Mus musculus: one gene and its partners. The protein of the gene in region 1 interacts with the protein of each later gene in a pairwise test. Links are inferred from orthologs where the notes say so. Each region holds a gene or a part of one and is shown in the gene's direction. Other genes may lie near its edges. The genes, in order: Trim27, Fndc11 and Pram1.

Evidence for each region.
Region 2: the proteins of Trim27 (region 1) and Fndc11 interact in binary tests that used the Homo sapiens proteins (3 or more experiments, as listed by UniProt). The two-hybrid records come from large-scale screens. The link is inferred for Mus musculus from reciprocal best matches to the Homo sapiens genes TRIM27 and FNDC11.
Region 3: the proteins of Trim27 (region 1) and Pram1 interact in binary tests that used the Homo sapiens proteins (3 or more experiments, as listed by UniProt). The link is inferred for Mus musculus from reciprocal best matches to the Homo sapiens genes TRIM27 and PRAM1.

What each region holds. Positions count from the first base shown.
Region 1 is NC_000079.6:21,177,488-21,184,576, forward strand, and holds the start of Trim27 (zinc finger protein RFP), read left to right. Parts: upstream 1-2,443; 5' UTR 2,444-3,007; coding exon 3,008-3,427; intron 3,428-4,496; coding exon 4,497-4,592; intron 4,593-6,244; coding exon 6,245-6,475; intron 6,476-7,089. UniProt on the Homo sapiens protein: E3 ubiquitin-protein ligase that mediates ubiquitination of various substrates and thereby plays a role in diffent processes including proliferation, innate immunity, apoptosis, immune response or autophagy.
Region 2 is NC_000068.7:181,216,955-181,224,043, forward strand, and holds Fndc11 (fibronectin type III domain-containing protein 11), read left to right. Parts: upstream 1-3,079; 5' UTR 3,080-3,180; intron 3,181-4,439; 5' UTR 4,440-4,449; coding exon 4,450-5,448; 3' UTR 5,449-5,495; downstream 5,496-7,089.
Region 3 is NC_000083.6:33,634,847-33,641,935, forward strand, and holds the start of Pram1 (PML-RARA-regulated adapter molecule 1), read left to right. Parts: upstream 1-3,209; 5' UTR 3,210-3,328; coding exon 3,329-3,331; exon of another isoform or gene 3,332-3,366; intron 3,367-5,617; coding exon 5,618-7,070; intron 7,071-7,089. UniProt on the Homo sapiens protein: May be involved in myeloid differentiation. May be involved in integrin signaling in neutrophils. Binds to PtdIns(4)P.

The sequences.
Region 1 (7,089 bases):
GGATGTTAACTTTTTTTAAGTCTTTCATATATTAAGGATACTCATCCCCTATCAGATGACTAAACAATTCAGAATTCTTATTTTGTTCCCATAAGTGTATAAAGGTTAGCAACTATACTAGGTATTGTTACCATATGTGGTTTTCCCTGGTGTCATTCTCCACCAGCCCACCAGGATAAAGTGGGCAGAGCCGATGAACAGGGTTTCAAAAGGCTTGTGAATACAAACGGAAATGACAGTCCAGCATCAGATCAACTTTATTCAGGGGAACCAAGGGCTCTCTATCGTTGCAGAAGGAAGTAGGGATCTCCAGGGTGGACAAAGGTCACTGGCTGAAGGCTAGGTAGAGATGCCTCATTAGCCTAGGGAGGCATTCCAGGAATCTCAGGTGCTTGCTGGACAGGTTTTTACGTGGAGGAAGGAGAACCTGTAATCTCACCACTGCTACGTGCAGTTCTTCAGGTAGATGGTAAGGGGGAGGAGGGCATTTCTAAGCTCTCCAGACAAGGTCAGAGAAGAAGAAGCCCTGCTGACAAAGGGAGTCCACCATTTTGTACCAAGCTCAGTGGTTTTTGGTAATGTCAGATATCAACCTTAGCAGCAGGGTTTCTCTGACAACTATAGTTGATTAAAAAAAAATTCATAGCAGCAATTTCATTCATCTAACTACTGAATCATTTCCAAGTCATTTGCAAACAGATAAGGTATTGCAATAATTTAGGCCAAGGTGGAGGAACAAACACAAAAACTGCGTGGATGGGTCTGAGACGAGCACTTGCCTAGCTTAACGTCCTGGGTTCGAGCTCTAACACTGAAAACACTGGAAATGAGTAGGCAACTCAGCCATAAAGCTCATGACAAGCCTACTAAATTAGTGGAGAAAGAGAAAACAGTTATCGCTTGAGAAAGGAGGGAGCCTGTAGCAATCCTGGAAGGGGGAGCGCTTCCTTTCCCCTACTTCCTCCACCTTGCCCTACTTACCTGGCTTGTCCAGGCCATCTGCCTTGAGGTTAGGAAAGCAGAGACCGCATGAGCCCTGGATGACAAAGCTAAAATCCAGAGCCGCACTGATGACCTAAGAACACATATCTGCCACCTGCATTTTTCATAGTTCTACACCGGCTTGCAAAACTGAATTCTTCCTTCTGGAGTAAGACTGGCACTTTCAATTCCTTTCAACTTCAGTTTTGTAGCAGAGTAGACTACAGTGTAGCCTAGGACAAATATTCTACCATTTACTGGAAGTGTGCTGAGTTGTTTTGAGCCTGGAGTTTCAAAGAGCAGGTGGGGAGAATGGAGGTTTGGATGAGCGAGACTTGTTAAGTACCTCGGATTTCTTGTCCCATAGGGAAGAATCAAGCAGAATCCAGTGAAGTGATGGCCTGGATACAGAAATTCCCTGTTGCTCAAACACAAGGGCAGGCACGGAGTCAATCCCAAAGGAGAGTAGGAAAGGCCATGGCATAAGTGACAGCGCACAGAACTGAAAACCTATTCTGTGATAAGAAACCAGGCTACAAGACCTCCTCCGGTCATCACAGGACTCTCGATTGGGCAGAAACAAGCAAGTTTTAGGTTCTACTCAATGTCATTCGATGTACTGGGTGCTTCATTTAAACTAGCGGATAAAGATCTTTATGCTCAAGCTGTGGTTTGTTTGTTTGTTTGTTTGTTTGTTTAAAAAGGTGTAACTCCTTGATGGGGAAAATTCCTGAAAGCAATAGGGTATGGGAGCTCAAGGAGGGCACTGAACTAGATTGCTGGGAGTAAGAACTTATTAGAAGAGTTATTAACGTCATGGGCAGAAGGACAACACTACAGTGGACAATCAGAATTTTTGGCCCCAGCGCCGCAGGGCCCAGGCTGGAGGTGAGGGGTGGGGGTGGGGGTGGGGGTGGGGGAGTGTTCTGAGAATGAGGCCCACGTGGCAGAATCCGGGTTGTTTCTTCGAGGGTCTCATAGGAACCCACAGCCACGTAGGTTCCTCAGCAGGTGGCAGGGAAGACGAGAGAGAAGTGTGTCGCCAGGCAGCCCTTTGACACGTCGGGTCTGGCTACTCACTTGAGGAAGTGAGACACTGGGCACCTGAGGAGCCTGAGAAGAAGTTAGGGACTCACAAGCGGGCTCTCGGTGGGGTGGCTCCCTAGTAACGGTAGAGCTAGGGAGATGGGGGAGGACTTCATGGTCTGGTCAGCACTCTGGTCGGGATTCGATCGGTCCCCATTTCACACGAGAAGAAAATGAGGCTCGGAACGATAAACCGATTTACTTTAGGGTGGAGATAGAACTGGGCTTCTCCGTTTCTGCCCCTGAGAAAAGTTGCTGATGATTAAACCCTTTTCTAGCGATTGTTAACGCCTGGAGCTGGGTGTGTCACACTGGGAGGGGCCTAGCTGGTCTCCCCGCCCAGCTTTCCGGCATTTATGCAAAGCCATCTTACTTTTAAAGGAGCCGAGGCCTAGCCACTAAGAGGAAACTCAGCAGAAGACTACGGGCCCACAGACGCTTGGAGTGACCCGACGCCACTGCCAGGGGACACTCTGCTCCCACTGCACGCGACAGCCACGACCGACTCCCGGGCTGGGTGCCGGGGACCCAGGACTGTGCAGAGGAAACCCGCTTTCCCGCCCCGAGAGAGCAGAGCGGCGCGGGAAGCCAGGCCCCGCCCCCGGCCCACCTCTTCCGCTCGGCCCTGAGGAGTCTGCGCGGCCGCGGGACCCCTTCCGACGCGGCCACGTTGCCCGGTGAGCCAGCCCGCGGCGCCCGGTTCCCGACTCCCCTCGGCTCGGCTCTCAGCCGGGCTCCGGGGCCCAGGCCTCCTCCCCGTGCTGTCGGTGAGGAGCAGCTGTGCGGGGACGGGTCTGGCCGCCCGAGAGCTCCGCGCGCGTCTGCGATCCCCGCGCCGGAGGCCCCGCCCCGCTCCGGAGCCGAGAAGCGGAGCGAGCGCGCTGAGCTCCGACAGAGCTCGGCTCCGGGCTCATGCCCTGCGGCCCAGCCGGCCCGCGCCATGGCCTCCGGGAGCGTGGCCGAGTGCCTGCAGCAGGAGACCACCTGCCCCGTGTGCCTTCAGTACTTCGTGGAGCCTATGATGCTCGACTGCGGCCACAACATCTGTTGCGCGTGCCTGGCCCGCTGCTGGGGTGCCGCGGAGACTAACGTGTCGTGTCCGCAGTGCCGGGAGACCTTCCCGCAGCGCCACATGCGACCCAACCGGCACCTGGCCAACGTGACCCAGCTGGTGAAGCAGCTGCGCACCGAGCGGCCGTCGGGGCCCGGCGGCGAGATGGGCGTGTGCGAGAAGCACCGGGAGCCTCTGAAGCTGTACTGCGAGCAGGACCAGATGCCCATCTGCGTGGTGTGCGACCGCTCGCGCGAGCACCGCGGCCACAGCGTGCTGCCCCTGGAGGAGGCGGTGGAGGGCTTCAAGGTAGGGCCGGGCCGGCGGACAAAGGGGCGAGCCGGGGGCTTCCTGGTTTGATACCGAGAAAATGGCGAGCCGGACGTGGGGCCCACCGCCGTCATTTCCTCCCTGTCGGCTGCGGAGCCTCCGCACTCAGACTGGGAAGGAGAACCTGTAGCTGGCGAGGCCAGGAGCACCCCCACCCCCACCCCGAGCGCCCCTGCTAACCGCCTCTACGCGTGCCGCGACTGGGACGGCGCGAGGAGACCCTCCCTTGACAAAGGAGATGCACATGGAGCCAAGTACACTTCCATAGGCCTTGAACGCCTCGAACTCGCTCTGACCCAGGATACCAAGCCAGACAGTCACTGTTGGCTGGCTGAATTCACATCGAGCAGTGCCCATCACTTAATCTGTGTCCCCAGCACTTCCCTGTAAACCTGTTTTAGAACTGAATGGAAATGAACAGAGCTTTTTACTGCTTAAGTAAATCATTTAGCCACTCTCAGACTCGGGAGATGGCTTATTGTGAAGGGGAAGTGAACTCACAGGACCTTTGTGGAGTGTTGAATAAACACTGGCACAGCTACACAGTAGTACGAAAACGTTACATATAAAGTAGCTCTGAAGTGATAATGATCTTGAGGGCTGCAGGGATCTATACCAACAGAGTTATATATTTGTTTAAGTGTGAGTTCATCCAAATGTCAGTCACGTTTACAAAGCTGTCACCTGTATCATTTCACTCGCTGGAGATAAGTTGTAATTTAGTAATGTTTACTGATTCTTTGAGGAAAATAAATCTTTTTTTTTTTTCTGTATTCATCTGAGAAATAGCTTACCTTTTGAGCCTCCTTACCCAGATGTCTTGTAACCGCTTCTAGGAACTGGTAGGTGGCTAGAGTTTAAATAACAAATTGCTAACACACTTGCTGGCCCCTGTGCTTTGGGCTCTTCCCAGGAGTGGCATTATGGTCTGAGAAGAGAGTCCAGCGGGGCCTTGGCATCTGTAGTTTGGGTTCATGTGTGAAAAGCAGAGTATTCTGATGCTGAGATCTGCAAAATCTTGAACTGGCCGACTATTTACTTTCTTCAGGAGCAAATCCAGAACCGACTGGACCACCTAAGAAGAGTGAAAGACTTGAAGAAGAGACGGCGGGCACAGGGGGAGCAGGCCCGAGCTGAGCTTTTGGTAAGGGTCCAGATCTCCAGCCTGCAGAGGAATTGATTGCATTAGGATAGTAAGCTTCTGAACTGCTCTGAAAATCCCTGACAGTTCTCGGCCTTGGCAGGGGTGTAGTGAGAAGCCTCTAAGCAGAGCCTATCAGCTTTGGGAGGTTTGTCCAGAGAGAACTAGCCCCTGGGAATCCCGAACCCTGGGCCTGCTTCTTGGGTCAGACACTAGCCAGTTTAAGTGGAGTGGGTGCAGGCTTTCCGGGCCTTAATTTCTTTCTGTTGGAATAGAGGTCAGACCTAAGAAACCTGTGGATCTCCAGCAGCCAGTGCTGCCGCTTCTTCCCTTGAAATACGTGTTTTGGGTTGAATCAGAGACAGTGTGTGGAAGTGAGACGAGGCTGCCAAGTGGCCTGCAGTAAGAAACACCTGTGCCAGGGTGTAAGTCACACTGCTTTGGATACATTGCATGAATTTATTTTTAGCTTTAATGTTACCTAAGATTATATTGTGTGCTTTATGACTTTGAAAGACTTATCCAGCTTAAAAGAGGTCTGAGTAGAGGGCTCTTGGAGCAGTTGAGTTCAGGTCAGGTTTTAGCAAACTTTCTGAAAAGAGCCAGTAGTAAGTAGTTTTGCTTTGTTAGTTTACACAAGCCGAATCACAGCACCCCAGTTAGTGCATGTCAAAAACAGCCGTGTGTAATACATAAATGAGTAGGTTTGGCTGGATTCAAGTAAAATCTTTCTTGACTGCTCTAGAGCCATCTTGCTGACCACTTATTTAGAAATAGTTTCACTGTGCAGCCAGGATGGGCTTGAACTCTCCATATTCCTGCCTTAGTCTCCCCCCAAGTGCTGGGAGTGTGGATATGCACTGCCTTGCGTGGTTTATAATTTCCTAGTTAGAGCTCTAGGTTTTTTTTTATCTTAAATACATTATATAGTTAAGAATGACCTTGAAGTTCCAGTCTTCCCATGTCTGCCTTCCAAGTGCTAGGAAGGAAGGAGGAATTAGAAAGAAATAAAGGAAAGATGGACAAACCGTAATAGAGACATTGTGTGGAGAGGAACCCATAAAGACTCCCCCAAAAAATCAGGGCATGGCTTACTGAGACCAAGTAAACAAGTCCAGGAAACTTTTGCTTGATCATACCAGGTCACGTCCACAGAGTGCACACCTAGCCCTGACACTTCTGTATGGCTGTTTGATGACGCTCAGTCTGCCAGGCAAGATGCTCATGGGCTCCAGTCATGTGGAACAATGTGATGTGCCTTCGCCCCCCACTTGGTAGCCTGTACCATTTGCTCACCTAGAAAGCCTATCTAGTTCATGCTTACATGGCAGTCTATAAGACCCTGCGTGAACACAGATTTTAGGAAGACTATTCAGTTTCTCCCACGATGTCTTCACTCATCCATGATGTAGATGGACCTGATTCTGATTAGACCGGGTCCCTTAAGATCAGGGACTGTTTCTTAATATTTGAAGTAATTCAGTTCATGGTCTTTGTGTATCTGGTGTGTAAAGACTGGAAAGTGAGTGGGTGAGTATAGTGTGTATTTTAGTATAATTTGAAATGGTGAGATCTTGGGGTTAAATCATGGAGATTATCTTGAGGGATTCTAGCAGTGAGCCTTTCCTCTTCTTACCTTTGCTTGTCATTCACAGAGCCTGACTCAGATGGAGAGGGAAAAAATTGTCTGGGAGTTTGAGCAGCTCTATCACTCGTTGAAGGAGCATGAGTACCGCCTGTTGGCTCGCCTTGAGGAGCTCGACTTGGCCATCTATAACAGCATCAACGGGGCCATCACTCAGTTCTCCTGCAACATCTCCCACCTCAGTGGCCTGATTGCCCAACTGGAAGAGAAGCAGCAGCAGCCCACGCGGGAGCTCTTACAGGTAACCAAGAGAGCACTGCAGGACAGCAGCTTTTACCTCATCAGGCAGCATGATGCTTCCCTGTGTCCTTCTTTAACAGCTGAAGTGTTAAGCATTTTGGAAGGAAAACGCGTATGCTAGAAGTTGTGGTTGACACTACTCAGTTCTTCAGTTGCATTGTGTATGGAAAAGGCAAAAGAAAAACCTAGTCCTTGGGTCTCTCCTGCACTTTCCTTTACAGTCTTAGGGCCTCATTAATCTCATTTGCTCAGTCAGAATAGATTATGTATAATAAAGCATTTGAGCCACAGGTCATTCAAGACCCTTTCATCATCCAGCAATTGTAATATAGACATATATTTTAACCATAGGCAAGAATACTGAGTGGAGAGCAGGTAGTTAACCTGAATGTTGCTATAATTGACCTGTGCTGGTATAACTGAGGGAAGCCAAGTGCTCTCCAGGGAAAGACCACAGTAGATGAACTACTACTGCCTGCCTTCCTGTCTCGTCTTCCATTGTTTGTTTGTTTGTTTGTTTGTTTGTCTTTTGTTGTTGTTGTTTTTTTTAGATTTATTTCTTTCTTATTATATGTAAGTATACTGTAGCTATCTTCAGACACTCCAGAAGAGGGC
Region 2 (7,089 bases), on another chromosome or scaffold:
AAGGTTGATGGGCGTGTGGTGGAACCAAAGAGAGCTGTTTCTAGAGAGGATTCTGTAAAGCCCATTTAACGGTGCCCATTTAACGGTGAAGAAAATTTTTGTTGGTGGTATTAAAGAGGATACGGAAGAATATAACCTGAGAGACTACTCAGAAAAGTATGGCAAGATTGAAACCAGAGAGGTTATGGAAGACAGGCAGAGTGGGAAAAAGAGAGGATTTGCTTTTGTAACTTTTGATGATCATGACACAGTTGATAAAATTGTTGTTCAGAAATAGCACACTATTAATGGGCATAATTGTGAAGTGAAAAAGGCCCTTTCTAAACAAGAGATGCAGTCTGCTGGATCACAGAGAGGTCGTGGAGGTGGACCTGGCAACTTTATGGGTCGTGGAGGAAACTTTGGAGGTGGTGGAGGAAACTTTGGTTGTGGAGGAAACTTTGGTGGAAGAGGTGGCTATGGTGGTGGAGGTGGTGGCAACAGAGGTAGTTATGGAGGTGGTGATGGTGGATATAATGGATTTGGAGGTGATGGTGGCAACTATGGTGGTGGTCCTGGTTACAGTAGTAGAGGAGGTTATGGAGGTGGTGGACCAGGATATGGAAACCAGGGTGGTGGATATGGTGAGGAGGAGGAGGCTATGATGGTTACAATGAAGGAGAAAATTTTGGTGGAGGTAACTATGGTGGTGGTGGAAACTATAATGACTTTAGAAATTATAGTGGACAGCAACAATCAAATTATGGACCCATGAAGGGGGGCAGTTTTGGTGGAAGAAGCTCAGGCAGTCCCTATGGTGGTGGCTATGGATCTGGAGGTGGAAGTGGGGGATATGGTAGCAGAAGGTTTTAAAATAAAACAGAAATGGCTACAGTTCTTAGCAGGAGAGAGAGCAAGGAGTTGTCAGGAAAGCTGCAGGTCACTTTGAGACAGTCGTCCCAAATGCATTAGAGGAACTGTAAAAATCTGCCACAGAAGGAACAATGATCCATAGTCAGAAAAGTTACTGCAGCTTAAACAGGAAACCCTTCTTGTTCAGGACTGTCATAGCCACAGTTTGCAAAAAGTACAGCTATTGATTAATGCAATGTAGTGTCAATTAGATGTACATTCCTGAGGTCTTTTATCTGTTGTAGCTTTGTCTTTTTCTTTTTCTTTTCATTACATCAGGTATATTGCCCTGTAAATTGTGGTAGTGGTACCAGGAATAAAAAATTAAGGAATTTTTAACTTTTCAAAAACAAAAAAACAAAAAAACAAAAAACCACCTGTGGTCTGGAGAGATGGCTCAGCAGTTAACAGCACAGGCTGCTCTTCCAGAGGACCCAAGTTCAATTTCTAGCACCTACATAGGGACTCAAACCTGTCTATAATTTTAGTCCCAGGGCTTCTGACACCCTCACACAGATTTACATACAAGCAAAACATTACTGAGCATAAAATAAAGAATTAAAAAGAAAGAAATAGGGCTGGAGAGATGGCTTAGCGGTTAAGAGCACTGACTGCTCTTCCAGAGGTCATGAGTTCAATTCCCAGCAACCATGGTGGCTCACAACCATCTGTAATGAAATGTAATGCCCTTTCCTGTGTGTCTGAAGAGAGCAACCATGTACTCACATAAAATAAATGTATCAATCTTGAAAGAAAGAAAGAAAGAAAGAAAGAAAGAAAGAAAGAAAGAAAGAAAGGAAGGAAGAAAGAAAGAAAGAAAGAAAGAGAAAGAAAAATAAAAACCATCCCTAACTCCAGTTCCAGGGGATCCAATGTCCTCTTCCTACCTCTGTGGGTACCAGCCTTCTGTGGGAACCAGGCATGCAGGTAAAATGCTCATATACATAAAAATCAATCTAAAAAATTAAAAATTTTAAAACTAGGACTGGGAAAAAAAAAAAAAAAGACCGATCAAGTGGAGCAGAGCAGCTTTCACAGACCCAGAGCAAGCCCAACCCCTAAGAACAGGGTAGTGAGCCTCACCCATCTCCTTCCTGAGGAAGAGCTGGGCGCTGGTATTCTTCCTGCTGCTTTTTATTCTCTTCTACTCCCCAGGGGCCAGTTTCCCTCCTGGACCTTCAGATGGCATCCCTTTCTCCCTCAAACTGGCCACCATGACTAACTAGCCTAGATGAGCACAGAGCCAGCACCCATCGCTTCTCCCTCCTCCCCCTCCCCCTCTGGGGCCTCTGAGGTCTGTAGCCAATATAGGTTGACAGATAGGAAAACTATTCCCCAGCACCGTCAGATGCCATCAGGAGGGCTGGGAGCTCTAGCTATAATTCAAGTTGGTAGCAAACTTGAGTTACAACCAGGTAACTCAGTCCAGACAAACCCAATCTAGAAGGACTGACCGAGTGGAAAAGAGTCAGCAGCTTTCAGGTGGCTGAGACCCTGAGACCCTTGCTAGGAGTAACCCCAAGCTAGCTCATAAAGAGGAAGGACCTGGGTGTTAAATCTAGGGGTCCAAAGCCCAGTTTGGAGTATGAGACTGCAACTTGGGGATTCCTTTGAGGATTCCTAGAGCTATGGACTCCGTTTATTCAGACTGGAGGGGACAGGGCATGAGTTTCTGGAGGCCTGGGAAAACCAGACCCCTTCACCTTGCTGACTGCTTGCTAAGGAGATCCTAGCCATCTGCTGCTATATCACTTCCTTTCTCATCGTCTTTGAGACCCATAGGCGGCTGCTTGGCTTGGAATGTCAAACAGGTGGCCCTTCCCTGCACTCCACTGGCATCTGCTGGCTTCTTGAGTCCCAGCAGCCAGCTCTGTCCCACTCAAAGACACCAGTTTCCTGCGTTGCATAGAATCCCATTGCAAGCCAAGCTGCTGACCCAGCCACCGCAGGCTCCTGGACTGCTGCGAAACACGATGCCGAGGAACAATTCCACTAGCCCGTGGCGCGGGCTGAAGTTGAGTTTGTTTCGAGTCCGTGAGGCCCTGGACATAAATCGCTGCTGCCGTATATCAAAATTTAGCCTTCAAATCAAGAGCTCCTTACACCTGGGCCGGATGTGCACAGCGTCACAAGGGCCAGTGGTTCCCATGGCAACAAGTAGGCCTTTGGCAGGGGGAGCGGATCTGGCAGTGCACCCTGCAGCTCTGGCTGGGCTCCGCACAGGAAGCGGGCGGCCAGGCACTTGCAGAGCGGGGCTGGGGCTCACGGAGGTGATCCGGAAGAGGAGTGGTAGGTAGAGGAGTTTAGGAGGTGTGCCCAGAAGCTCGGGGTGGGTAGTCTCCACGGAGGGGGAGGGGTGATAGAATAGCTTAGATGGGGAAGTAGTTATGGAGACTTCCATTGAGCTTTCTAGCGGCCATGAACTGTTGACTCAGGGTCTTGGGGCCCTGATCTCAGCTAGCATTCAGCCAGGAACCATTCTCTGCTGTCTCAGATGCCTGTTCTAACCCCCCCCACCCCCCACCCCCGGCACGCACCACCATTCACACAAATCACTTTGAATTAGTCTTTGGGACATGATCAATCTTACTATCCAGCTGTGTGGTTTTGAGGTAGTCATCCAGTCTCTTAGCTCTGTTTCTTGCTCATCCAAGCCCAGTTTCCACAAACTGAGATTTCCAAGTGAAGCCACTGGCCCAGTGCCAGGGACAGCTAGCAGGAGGTTGGTACCTTCTCCAGGGATCTCTGGCTACTGGGCTTTGTGGCACACCAGCCTCTCCACAGACAACCAGATTTGGGGGAAAGGTATGGGGACAAGGAGAGGAGGGCTGACTCTGGAGTCAACAGTTCCAGCTTTGGGATAAACTGGGTACAGGAGCATACACCCCTGGAGTCCCAAGACTGCTTGAGCACAGGAGTTGGAGGGCAGCCTGAACAACAGACTGAGATGTTCTGTCAAAATCAAAAGTGACCATGAAGGAAGACCAACCTAACAAGCTTTAGCGTTAGACTCCCCCCAACCCCCATCTGTGAGATGGTGGGAGAGGATCTACCCTGTTCTTAGCCACACAAGGTCCCCCCCCCCCCCTTTATGTGAGGATGATGTAGAGTCTTGTCTTTGGTTAGCCTGGTCCCTGAGCATTGCACCCCTGCAGTGTACCTGGTCTCTGGAGAGTACTGGGAAGCATGGGGAATCACCCTAAGCTTGGGCACAGACCTGTGTTAGGTGAGGAACCTGAGACTTATGATCTGTCTCAAAACTAATCAACATCCCAGAGCTTCTCCCCAGGCTACTCTGGTCCCTGTAGCCCACTCTGTCTGATAAGCCCCATTAGCTCATCGCCACAAAATACTATTGGCCCCTTGATAGAAGTTTCCCGTTTATCATCTGCTTTTGCCCAGTACCCAGCCCACTATTCTGTCCCCTCCAGGGGTCTCTGATCAGAAAGCTGTGTCCCAGGGGAGAGCAAAAGCCATTATGGGGCAGAGGCTGATGAGGGGCAGAGCCAATCTGACGGTCACAGCTGATGCCTAGTTCTTACCCTCAGCTCCCAGACAATGAACTTCCAGGTGACAGGCCTGGCCCTGGACAAAATGAAGCTGGACAGTCCACATTCCTTCCTGGACGCAGAGGAGGTGGAGGAGGCAGAGGACCAGCAGCTGCTGGAGCCAGAGGCTTGGAGGACATACATGGAGCGCCGCAACGTGCTGCGTGAGTTCCTGACCACAGACCTGAGCCCCCAGTTGCTCAAGCGCCACCATGCCCGCATGCAGCTGCTCAAGAAGTGCTCCTACTACATTGAGATTCTCCCTAAGCACCTGGCCCTGGGTGACCAGAACCCGCTGGTGCTACCTAACACCATGTTCCAGCTCATTGATCCCTGGAAGTTCCAGCGCATGAAGAAGGTGGGCACAGCACAGACCAAGATCCAGCTCCTCCTGCTTGGGGACCTGCTGGAGCAGCTGGACCATGGCCGGGCAGCACTGGATGCCCTACTTGAGGCCCCTGACCCACGGCCCTTCCTGGCAGGCTGGGGGCTTGTGGAACAGCAGTTGGCAGACCTATCAGTTGTCATGGACAACTTCCTGGCCATGATGGTACCAGGACACCTGCATGTCAAGCACCGCCTGGTATCTGACATTGGAGCCACCAAAATCCCACACATCCGGCTTATGCTGAGCACGAAGATGCCAGTTATGTTCGACCGGAAGGAGTCAGTGGCGCATCAGGACTGGGTCAGCCTGCGCTGGTTTGTAACCATCCAGCCGGCAGCACCAGAGCAGTATGAACTGCGCTTCAAGCTGTTGGAGCCCAGGACACAACAGGAGTGTACACAGTGTGGCATAGTCCCTGTGGCTGCCTGCACCTTTGATGTCCACAACCTGTTGCCCAACCGTACCTACAAGTTCACTATCAAGAGGGCAGAAAGCTACACCCTGGTCTATGAGCCCTGGCGGGACAGCCTCACCTTGCAGACCACGCCAGGACCCCCTGAGGGGCCTGCCCCCAGGCTGGGTAAGCCCAGCCTGCCCCTGACCACACCTTCTGAGAGATGATTTTCTAATATTTATCCACTAATAAAGAGGAGTATACACACACCAAATTAAAGACACAACCCTACTTAGGCCTTAAGAAAGTAGCAGCTATGTGTTTTCCTGATGGCCCTACACCCCACAAGTCCCAGAACCCCTTTGCCTTCTGTCTCTTCCAGGAGAGCCCCCGGCTGGACTCTAGAACAAGAGAGAGCTGGCCACCGGTACCTGGCTGCTTCAAGGGAACTCAGCCCCTCAGCCTCAGCACCTTATGTACCCCTCATCCGGACAGCCAGAACCAGATTTCTTTCCCTGCCTCCTAGGTTGAGCTCTCTGAGGAAGATGATACTTTGGGCCTGTTTGGACACCACTGAGGGCAGTCATAGCTTTAGTGCTAGCATCCCAGCTGCCTTGGAAACAAGGATGCCCAGGACCATGATTTCTTACTTTTAAAATAAAGGTCTTACACTCTCCCCAAGTAAGATGAAGTGCCATAGGCACCCCACATGTGTGAGGGTCCCAGAGAGGAAGCCTGGCTGGGAACCTCTCAAAGACATTCGATGATGCACAGCTTCTGAAAAGTGACCACCCTTACAGCGCTGACCTCAGTAGCTAGCTGATGGTATTCAGCCCACACAGGTAACCACATTCCTCACTACTGTCCAGGACACCTCGACATTAAGGTCTTCCATCCAGGTCAACACACACACACACACACAGAGAAGAATAATTATGAGATAGAAGAGGTAGATACAGGTTCAGTCACCTCCGGGCAAAGCAGAAGGATGGATTAAAGCAATATGAAGAACTGATGCAGCACACTCTAAGCCCAGCTTCCTCCCTACCACATATACCATGGGTGGGAGTCATTCTGAAATGGCCAAGCCTGGCAGGAGCGGGTGATCGGGTAGTAAAGGACAGGGAATCCTCCCCCACTGGCAAAGTAGTTTTCTGGGTAAGACAGGGCGTAATAAAGACCTCCTACTTTCCCCACTGGGGATGTGCTTGGCCTGTTGGGGCTCAGCTTAGGTAGTAAGCCAGGTAGCTAGCTCTAGCCACATATCTAACCAAGGTTCCTACAAATCAGGACTGTCATTCTCTGTGGCATGTGGTCAAAGTGCCAATTGTTCATGGATATCTCACAGGATAGTCATCCTAGAGATCCAGAATGGATAGCCTGTGTGTTGTAGGGTGGAGACTAGGTATAGGTAATGGCAACTCTATCAGACAGGAGAGGCCTAGAATGGGGGCTGGCTAAGGGAAGCATACATGGGTCTAGTAGCCTGGCACTCCCATCCCCAACCATGGCCCAGTCTTGTGCCCCATCAGGTCCAGAGAGATGTAACCTAGAGGTGGACACATAACAAAGCTACTTCAGGTACTAGGTACTTAGGAGCTGGTTCACATAGCCCACTCCCCAACCTGTGCAGAGCCCATTAGTGCTAATGCCTTCCTCAAGGCTCACTGCCTCACCTCCACCATACTTTGTGCCTCTGTTACCAATGGGATCTGGGATTTCTTCTCTTCTTAAGCTCCAATTCTATAGTGGTTTGAATATGCTTGGCCCAGGGTGTAGCACTATTAGGAAGTGTGGCCTTCTTGGAGTAGGTGTGGAGGGAGTGTGTTAATGTGGGTGTGAGTTTTTGAGACCCTCATCCTAGCTGC
Region 3 (7,089 bases), on another chromosome or scaffold:
ACTACAGTTTGTAGGAACCAGAGAATAATTTACAGCAGCCATACTTGGTTTTGAATGAGTTTATTAAGCCAAAGTAAAAGAGTAAATAGCAAATGGTTAGGGAAAGGAAGAAAGAGGTGGGTAGATACCTAGGGCTGCTTGGTCGGCCAGTCTAGTAAATAGTAAGCTTCAAGTTCGGAGACCTTGTCTCAAAAAGTAAGTGGGACACTGATGGCAGCCATTAACCTCTGCAAACATAGGCACAGATTCATGCACCCACACAGAATGGGATCTTCTGGATGAGAGAGGTTGAGTAGAAAGACTCGGGGATTCTGAGATTTCCTGTCCCAGAAACTTAGTACAGGGGGGTCAGATACCAGGGACATACAGAACTTCCATTGCACTCCATTTGCTGCCCAAAGTAGCTATCCTTACTGCTTTACACATGCCCAGTCTTTGCTCTTCTGGGATGCCTTGGGGATCCCCATCCGCAGCTCAACCCACGCTTGTGCACCCCACTTCCTGCTCCTGAACTCCCATAATCCCCAACCTCCTTCTCTTTAAACTGGAACTCCACAGTGTTCTACCTCCACCTCCCACCTAAACAATGAAGTCATCCTAGTGCCCCAGCTTTCCAGCAGACAACACCCAAGAGTGTCAGTGTGGGGAAAGTATCTGCTGGCAGGAACTTATGCAGCTGCTCAGGTTGACTTGAATAGATGGAGAAATTCCTGGAGATTTGTCTGCAGACTCAGGTTTCAGGCTACCTCGTGGCAATTATGCACTAACAGATCTGTCACCTGAGGGATGTGGAATTGCTTCTATTTATCCTAAGAGAAGTGGAGAGCAGCAACAACCCCAGGTGGATCCCAGCTCATGCCTCTGGACCACGCTCCCGCTCCCTCCTTCAAAGAACTCCCAGATCTTCCAGGAACACCACAATAATTGGCCCTCCATTGTTTTAGACTTCTAGTTCCATAGTTTAGTTAGGGCCACCAGGTCATCCTCATGCAGGTCAAATACAGTCTGCCAGCCATGCTGGGAGGTTACCAACAACCCTGCATTCTCCCCTGTTGGGTCTCCTGCCGTTCAATCCTTTAGCTTGTGCTGGCCTTGATGGCCTACTGTGTGCTTTCAGGCCAGCATAAAGATCAGAGGACAGCTGTGGGGTTGGTTTTTCCCCTCCACCTTACATGTGTTCCAGGAATCGAACTATGGTCATCCAGTTTGTGTGGCAAATGTTTTAACCATAACCACAACCCCTAGCCATCTCACTGACTCATTGTTTTCGGTTTTGAGATTGGGTCTCCACTCAGTTACCAAACCTGAATTGAATCTGACATCCACCAGCCATATTCTCAACCAGTACCTGGGATTATAGGCGTGGCGTGGCTTCTTTCATATTTCTACCTGACTCCATTCACCAAGATTCTGGAAACTATCCACTTGAGACTCCTATAAAAGCAGACTCGTCTCTAGGAACTGTGACCCAAGACAGGAAAACAAGCATCAGAATCTTGATGCTATGTGCTAAAATAAGGAAGGTGTGCCTCTCAACCTAAGCTGCTTTATTTCCATTTAAATAAGCTGAAACCATACCTGGCTCATTCCCAAGAGTTATACAAGTTCTTGCTACTCTATCAGCCTTATAATACCCAACAGCAGGCCCATCACCTAAGTCAAAACATATATTTATTTTGTTTCTAAGATTGGTTTTCATTGTGGGTTTTTTTTTTTTTTCTTTTACTCGAGACAGGGTTTCTCTGTGTAGCCTTGGCTGTCCTGGAACTCACTTTGTAGACCAGGCTGGCCTCGAACTCGAAATCCGCCTGCCTCTGCCTCCCAAGTGCTGGAATTAAAGGCGTGCGCCACCACTGCCCGGCTTCATTGTATTTTTACAAGGCACTGCAACAATAGCCTTAAACTACCAGACTTTCCAATCCTCCTGCTTTTAACTCCCAAGTGCTGTTTTATGAGATTCTAGAAATCAGATTTAAGGCTTTGTACATGCTATATAAGTACACTACCAACAGAGCTACAAACTTTGGATTTAGTTTATGTTATCTTCCTTCACAGGGTCTCAACTTTCCAGCCGGGGGATGGTCATGCACTTAATATCCTCTTCTCCCACATGCGAGGATTACGGATGTGTGCCACTATACCTGGGTAGAACATGTACTTTTTTGGTTACGTTTCTGAGTCAGGGTCTCATTATGTAGTGCTGGCTGGCCTGAAATTCACTATGTAGATTAGGCTAACCTTGGAAATGTAGTGAACTTCCTGCTTCTGCTGGGATTACAAGTATGCACCACTACGCCAGTTGCTTAGAGCATGTACTTTGTGACTCCAGGGACATAGACACATGTACACTCATCTATACACCAGAACCATCCTGCTAGGGTGTAAGTAGTCCTCCTCCTTGGACCACATCCCAGACTGGTGACATCAGAATCTCTGGAAGATATTTTTTTAACAGCTCAAAGAATTCTATTCTGTTCCCAAACTGAGAATCATACCTCTGAACCCTGCTGAGTGTTCTTTGTTCCTGTGGACTGAATCACGTGTCAGGGCTCTCCTTTCCTATATCTACCTTTGTCCCACTTTGGGCTTCATTTTCCTGCAATCCAGTTTTCTTGTTTCTCCTCTCTCTGCTTCCTTTAACCACTGTGAACTTGAGAGGTCCTAAAACCCCATACCTTCACAGCAACAGTGATGTCCCTTCAGCCCAGGACTTAGACATCTTTTAATGCCACCCACCCATAAGTCTGCTTATCCCAGTTGATGATGCTTTGGGTGCATAGCCCTGGCTGATGGGGCATTTGTCACCTTAACAGGGAAGTCCTGTTGAGAGTACAAATGGTGAAACAAGGTAGATGAAGCAATACAGGAGGACAGATATGTCCTCACCATTGCAACAGCCATATCCTAGGTCTACCTCTTTAGAGACGTCTTAAGACCCAGAGAAAGCCATAAAATCCCCACTAAGGTGCTGTGACTGTCCTGAGTTTGTCCTAAGCTTGCCTCTTCAGAGACAAAGCTTGTCAGGACCCCAAAGTGTTAAAACTAAGGGGGACAATAGGGAATCAAGAGGCTAGTAGGAGCTAGGAAACTTGTGCTTTATAGATGTGCTTAGGTCTAATGACCTGACTTTGGGGACAGTAGTGGACAGGCAGGAACTCAAGGAGGGGACAGAAAGGCTATCTCCGCCTCCTTCCTCCTCTGCCCTCCCCAGCCCAACAGCTCCGACTTGGTGTGTCAGCCCGTGGAGCAGAAACCACACTTAACTTCCTCAAGGCAGAAGCCTAAGCTCAGAGCTCATTCACCCTGTGGTTCATCATCCCCTGAAGCCATGGTGAGTCCTCAAGCCCCCATTGGAAGTTCATTCAGGTAACAAGGGTCCCAAGTAGAAACTGGGGAACTGGTAAATATGCCCTCATGGGTAACCTAGCAGAACAGAGCTAGAACAGTCTTGGGGATGAGATGGCACAGGAAAAGATAAGAAACAACCAAGGCATAATAGCTTGAGCTCTTGTGGACCAGCTTTGTATCTGTGACTGCAAGGCAGTGTGGTGCTGGTTGGGTCTGCCTGGAATGATATACCCTCAATCCAGGTCAGCAGCTGGGATATAAGCAGAGGTTTCCTGTGAAGTGATTAAATGGGTCACGCACCTGCTACACCAGTCCCCATCTCCAGTCCGTTACCCAAGCTGTGCTCTGCTAAACCCTTCCTTATCTACCCTTGTGGTCATCAACTCACTTAGACTGGGGCTTCAACAAAGAAATGTCTGACCCCAGGCAAGAATTGCTTCCTTCCCAGAGATCCTTCTGAGTCCATCTCTAGATAGATTTACAAGGTTCTGTCCTCTCTGTCCTCCAATCTTTTTTACCCTTGGTGAAGATAGGCTGGGGATATCTACCAGCACCTATGGCAAAGAGCAGGTCAGACTTGAGAGCACCAGAAATGTTCTAAACATATCATATAGTGCCTGTACATTTGGGGAGCCTCCCTTCTGGTCCTCATGAGACATGTCAGGGACTATGACACCTAATACCCACATCTTAGATAGATGTATGTAGAGCTTGTTAACTTAGTTAGAATGGCTAGCCAACAAGCCCTAGAGGGCCTCCTGGCCTAAGCTCTCCAGAGCTAACTAGGATGACAGGTACTGCTCCTGACTTTGTTATGTATGAGTACTGAAGCTAGAACTCAGGCTTGCATGACAAGTACTTTACCTACTGAGAAATCTCTCTAGTCCCCCCAACTAAATTTTAACAATTTATAGTCAAAATGGGTATGGTGGTATACACCTGTAATGCCAGCACTCAGATGGCTGAAGCAGTAGAACTGTTGAATCCCAGCCTGGGCTACATAGTGAGAAACTGACTTAAAATAAACAAAAAACAAAAAAAGGAAAGGAAAGGAAAAAGGAAAAAGGGAAAAGGGAAAGGGAAAGGAAAGAAAAAGAGAGGGGGGCGAGGAGAGGAAGAGAGAAGAGGAGAGGAGAGAAGAGAGAAGAGAAAAAGAAAAGCAAGCAAGCAAGCTAAACTAATGGTGGCACACACCTGTAATCTCAGCACATGGGAGGCAGAGGCAGAAGGTTATCCTCAACTATAAAGCAAGTTTGAGGCCAGCCCAGGATATATGAGACCCTGCTTCAAAAAACAAATTAAAAAAAAGGAGGAGGAAGAGGAGGAGGAGAGGACGATGACAAAAAACCCTCATCACTGGGAAGATATAGTTCATTGCTAGAGCTTGTTTAGCAAGGTGCTAAGTTCCATCCCTAACACCACAAAAATAAAAATCCTCAAAACAACCCTAATATAAGAACTAATATAAAAAACTTCATAGGTAATGGGAGACAAAGAGAGTAGAAAATGTTGGTGACTGTGGGCAACTGGGAAGAGAAAACTGATTTAAAATGGGGTTATCTCCGAGGTCACCCTTAAGGAGCATTATCATAAAGACACAGAGGAGGAAGAGGAGAGACCCATGCATTGAGTGGTATGCATTACAGACAGGACAGAGGCGGGGTGGGGGGACCACTGCTGAGTCATTCAGGGACTGTTTGCTTTCCTCAGAGATGAACTCGCTGAGAGATTGGGAGCAGACACTTTATAGGCCTCCTCTAGGGCAGCAGACCACGGAGGAGGAGCCCATTACAGTGATCTGGACTGTGGAGGGCAGTTCCTCTACTTGGGGTGACAGTGAGAAGTAGTTGAATTCCGGATGTATTTTGAAATCAGGAAAAAAAAAAAAAAAAGGACTGGGGAGAACCGGTGATCAGGCAGAGGGCAAAGAGAGGTCAAGGGGGAGCAGTGGCACAAAGCACAAAGGTTGAAGATATTGTTGATCAGAAGCGTGGGCCATGGGCTAGTAGAAAGGAATAAGTAGTTAGGTCCTGTTAGAGGTTAGACACAGCTTAGGTGGAGGAGTCTGGAGGGCGTGGGTTCCAGGAACCTGGGGACAGGAGTAGTTCTTACCCAAAAAGAGAAGCTGAGATTGGGGAAGAACCAAAGTTAGAATGAGAACCTAAGGGAAGAGGAGGGTGATGGGTTTGTGTGCCTGTGACCAACTGTAACCGTTTCTCCATCTGCCGCCTTGTGATGAGAGCCTTCCTGAATGACCCATGTCTTTTAGGGGAGCAATCAGGACTTCCGAAACCTCCAAGCTAAGTTCCAAACCTCTCAGCCAGAACTTGGAGAACTGTTCAGAAAAACCCCAAAGCCTGAGTTAAACAAAGTCCTGAAGAAATTTCCACAGACTGAGTTAAGTGAGCAGCCCAAGAAGTCCTCACAGTCTGAGCTCAGTGCAGTGTCTTTGAAACCACTGCAGCTGCAGTTTGCAGACCTCCCCAGGAAGCCCCCACAGCCTGGAGTTCTTAAAAAGTCACCACAGCCTGAGTTCCCTCATCTAGCCAACAAGCCTGTACAGGCTGAATTCCCAAGGAAGCCTCTACATCCAGAGTTCACAGGTCTCAAAAAGCCTTCCCAGGCTGAGTTCACAGATCTCAAGAAGCCCCCACAGCCCCAGTTTGCCAGCCTCCCCAAGAAGCCCCCAAAACCTGAGTTTGGAGAGCTCTCCAAGAGACCTCCACAGCTTGAGACACCCCAGGAGCCTAGTGCTCCTCCTGCCCAGAAGCTCCTGAAGCCCGAGCCTAACAATCCTGCCAGGCCTCTAGGAGAGCTCAAACCCAAGATGTTTTGGCACCTTGAGGCCAATGAGGCACCTAAGAGGCCCTTGCCATCTGAATCCAGTACTTTTCCCAAGAAGCCACTGCAGCCTGAGGCTGTTGTTGGTTTCTCTAGGAAGTCCCAGCCACAGTCAGAGTCCATCGAAGTTTCTCAGACATCCCCCTCTAAGTGTGGGTCCAGGGAGCTTGACTCTCACTCCCCACAGCCTGACATCAGTACCTTTCCTAAGAACAATGAGAACTTTAGGAAACCTTCATATCCTCAAGCCACTGGTTGCCCCAAGTCCCCAAAGCAGCCCATGTTCTATGAGTTCCCCCAGACACCCCCTCGGAAGCCTGAGTCATGTAACCCCCAGTCTCACTCCCCGCTGCCAGACTTCAATGCATTCCCTAAGAAGCATCCACAGCTCCAGCCAAGTGACCTTACCAGGGCATCCTCGGAGCCTGAAGTCTGCAAGGTTCCCAAAAAGACTCAGAAGCCAGACCCCAATGTGCTTTCTCAGAAGCCCTCACAGCCAGAATTGGGTCACCTCCCTAGAACATCCTCGGACCCCGAGTTCAACTCGCTCCCGAGGAAGTTTCTGCAGCCTCAACACGGCAAGTTCTTCCAGCCTGAGTTCCCCAAGGGTCTGCCTAGAAAGCCCAAGCTTCCTGGTTCAGTGTCTGAATGCTCCCTGCCCTCTGCTAGTGCGGGCTCCAGCCCCCAGTGCCCTCTCAGCCCTGGGCTTATAGTCCCTGGGATACCCCGCTGGAGATCAGAAGACTTCCAAGTCCAGCGCCCACCCCGACGGCGGCCCCTGCCCTCAGCCAGCAGCCTGGGACACCCCCCAGCCAAGCCCGCACTACCACCTGGCCCCATCAATATCCAAAGCTTCAGGAGAGCCGCAGCAACAGCCGCAGGTAAGGCTCAGGCAGAAGA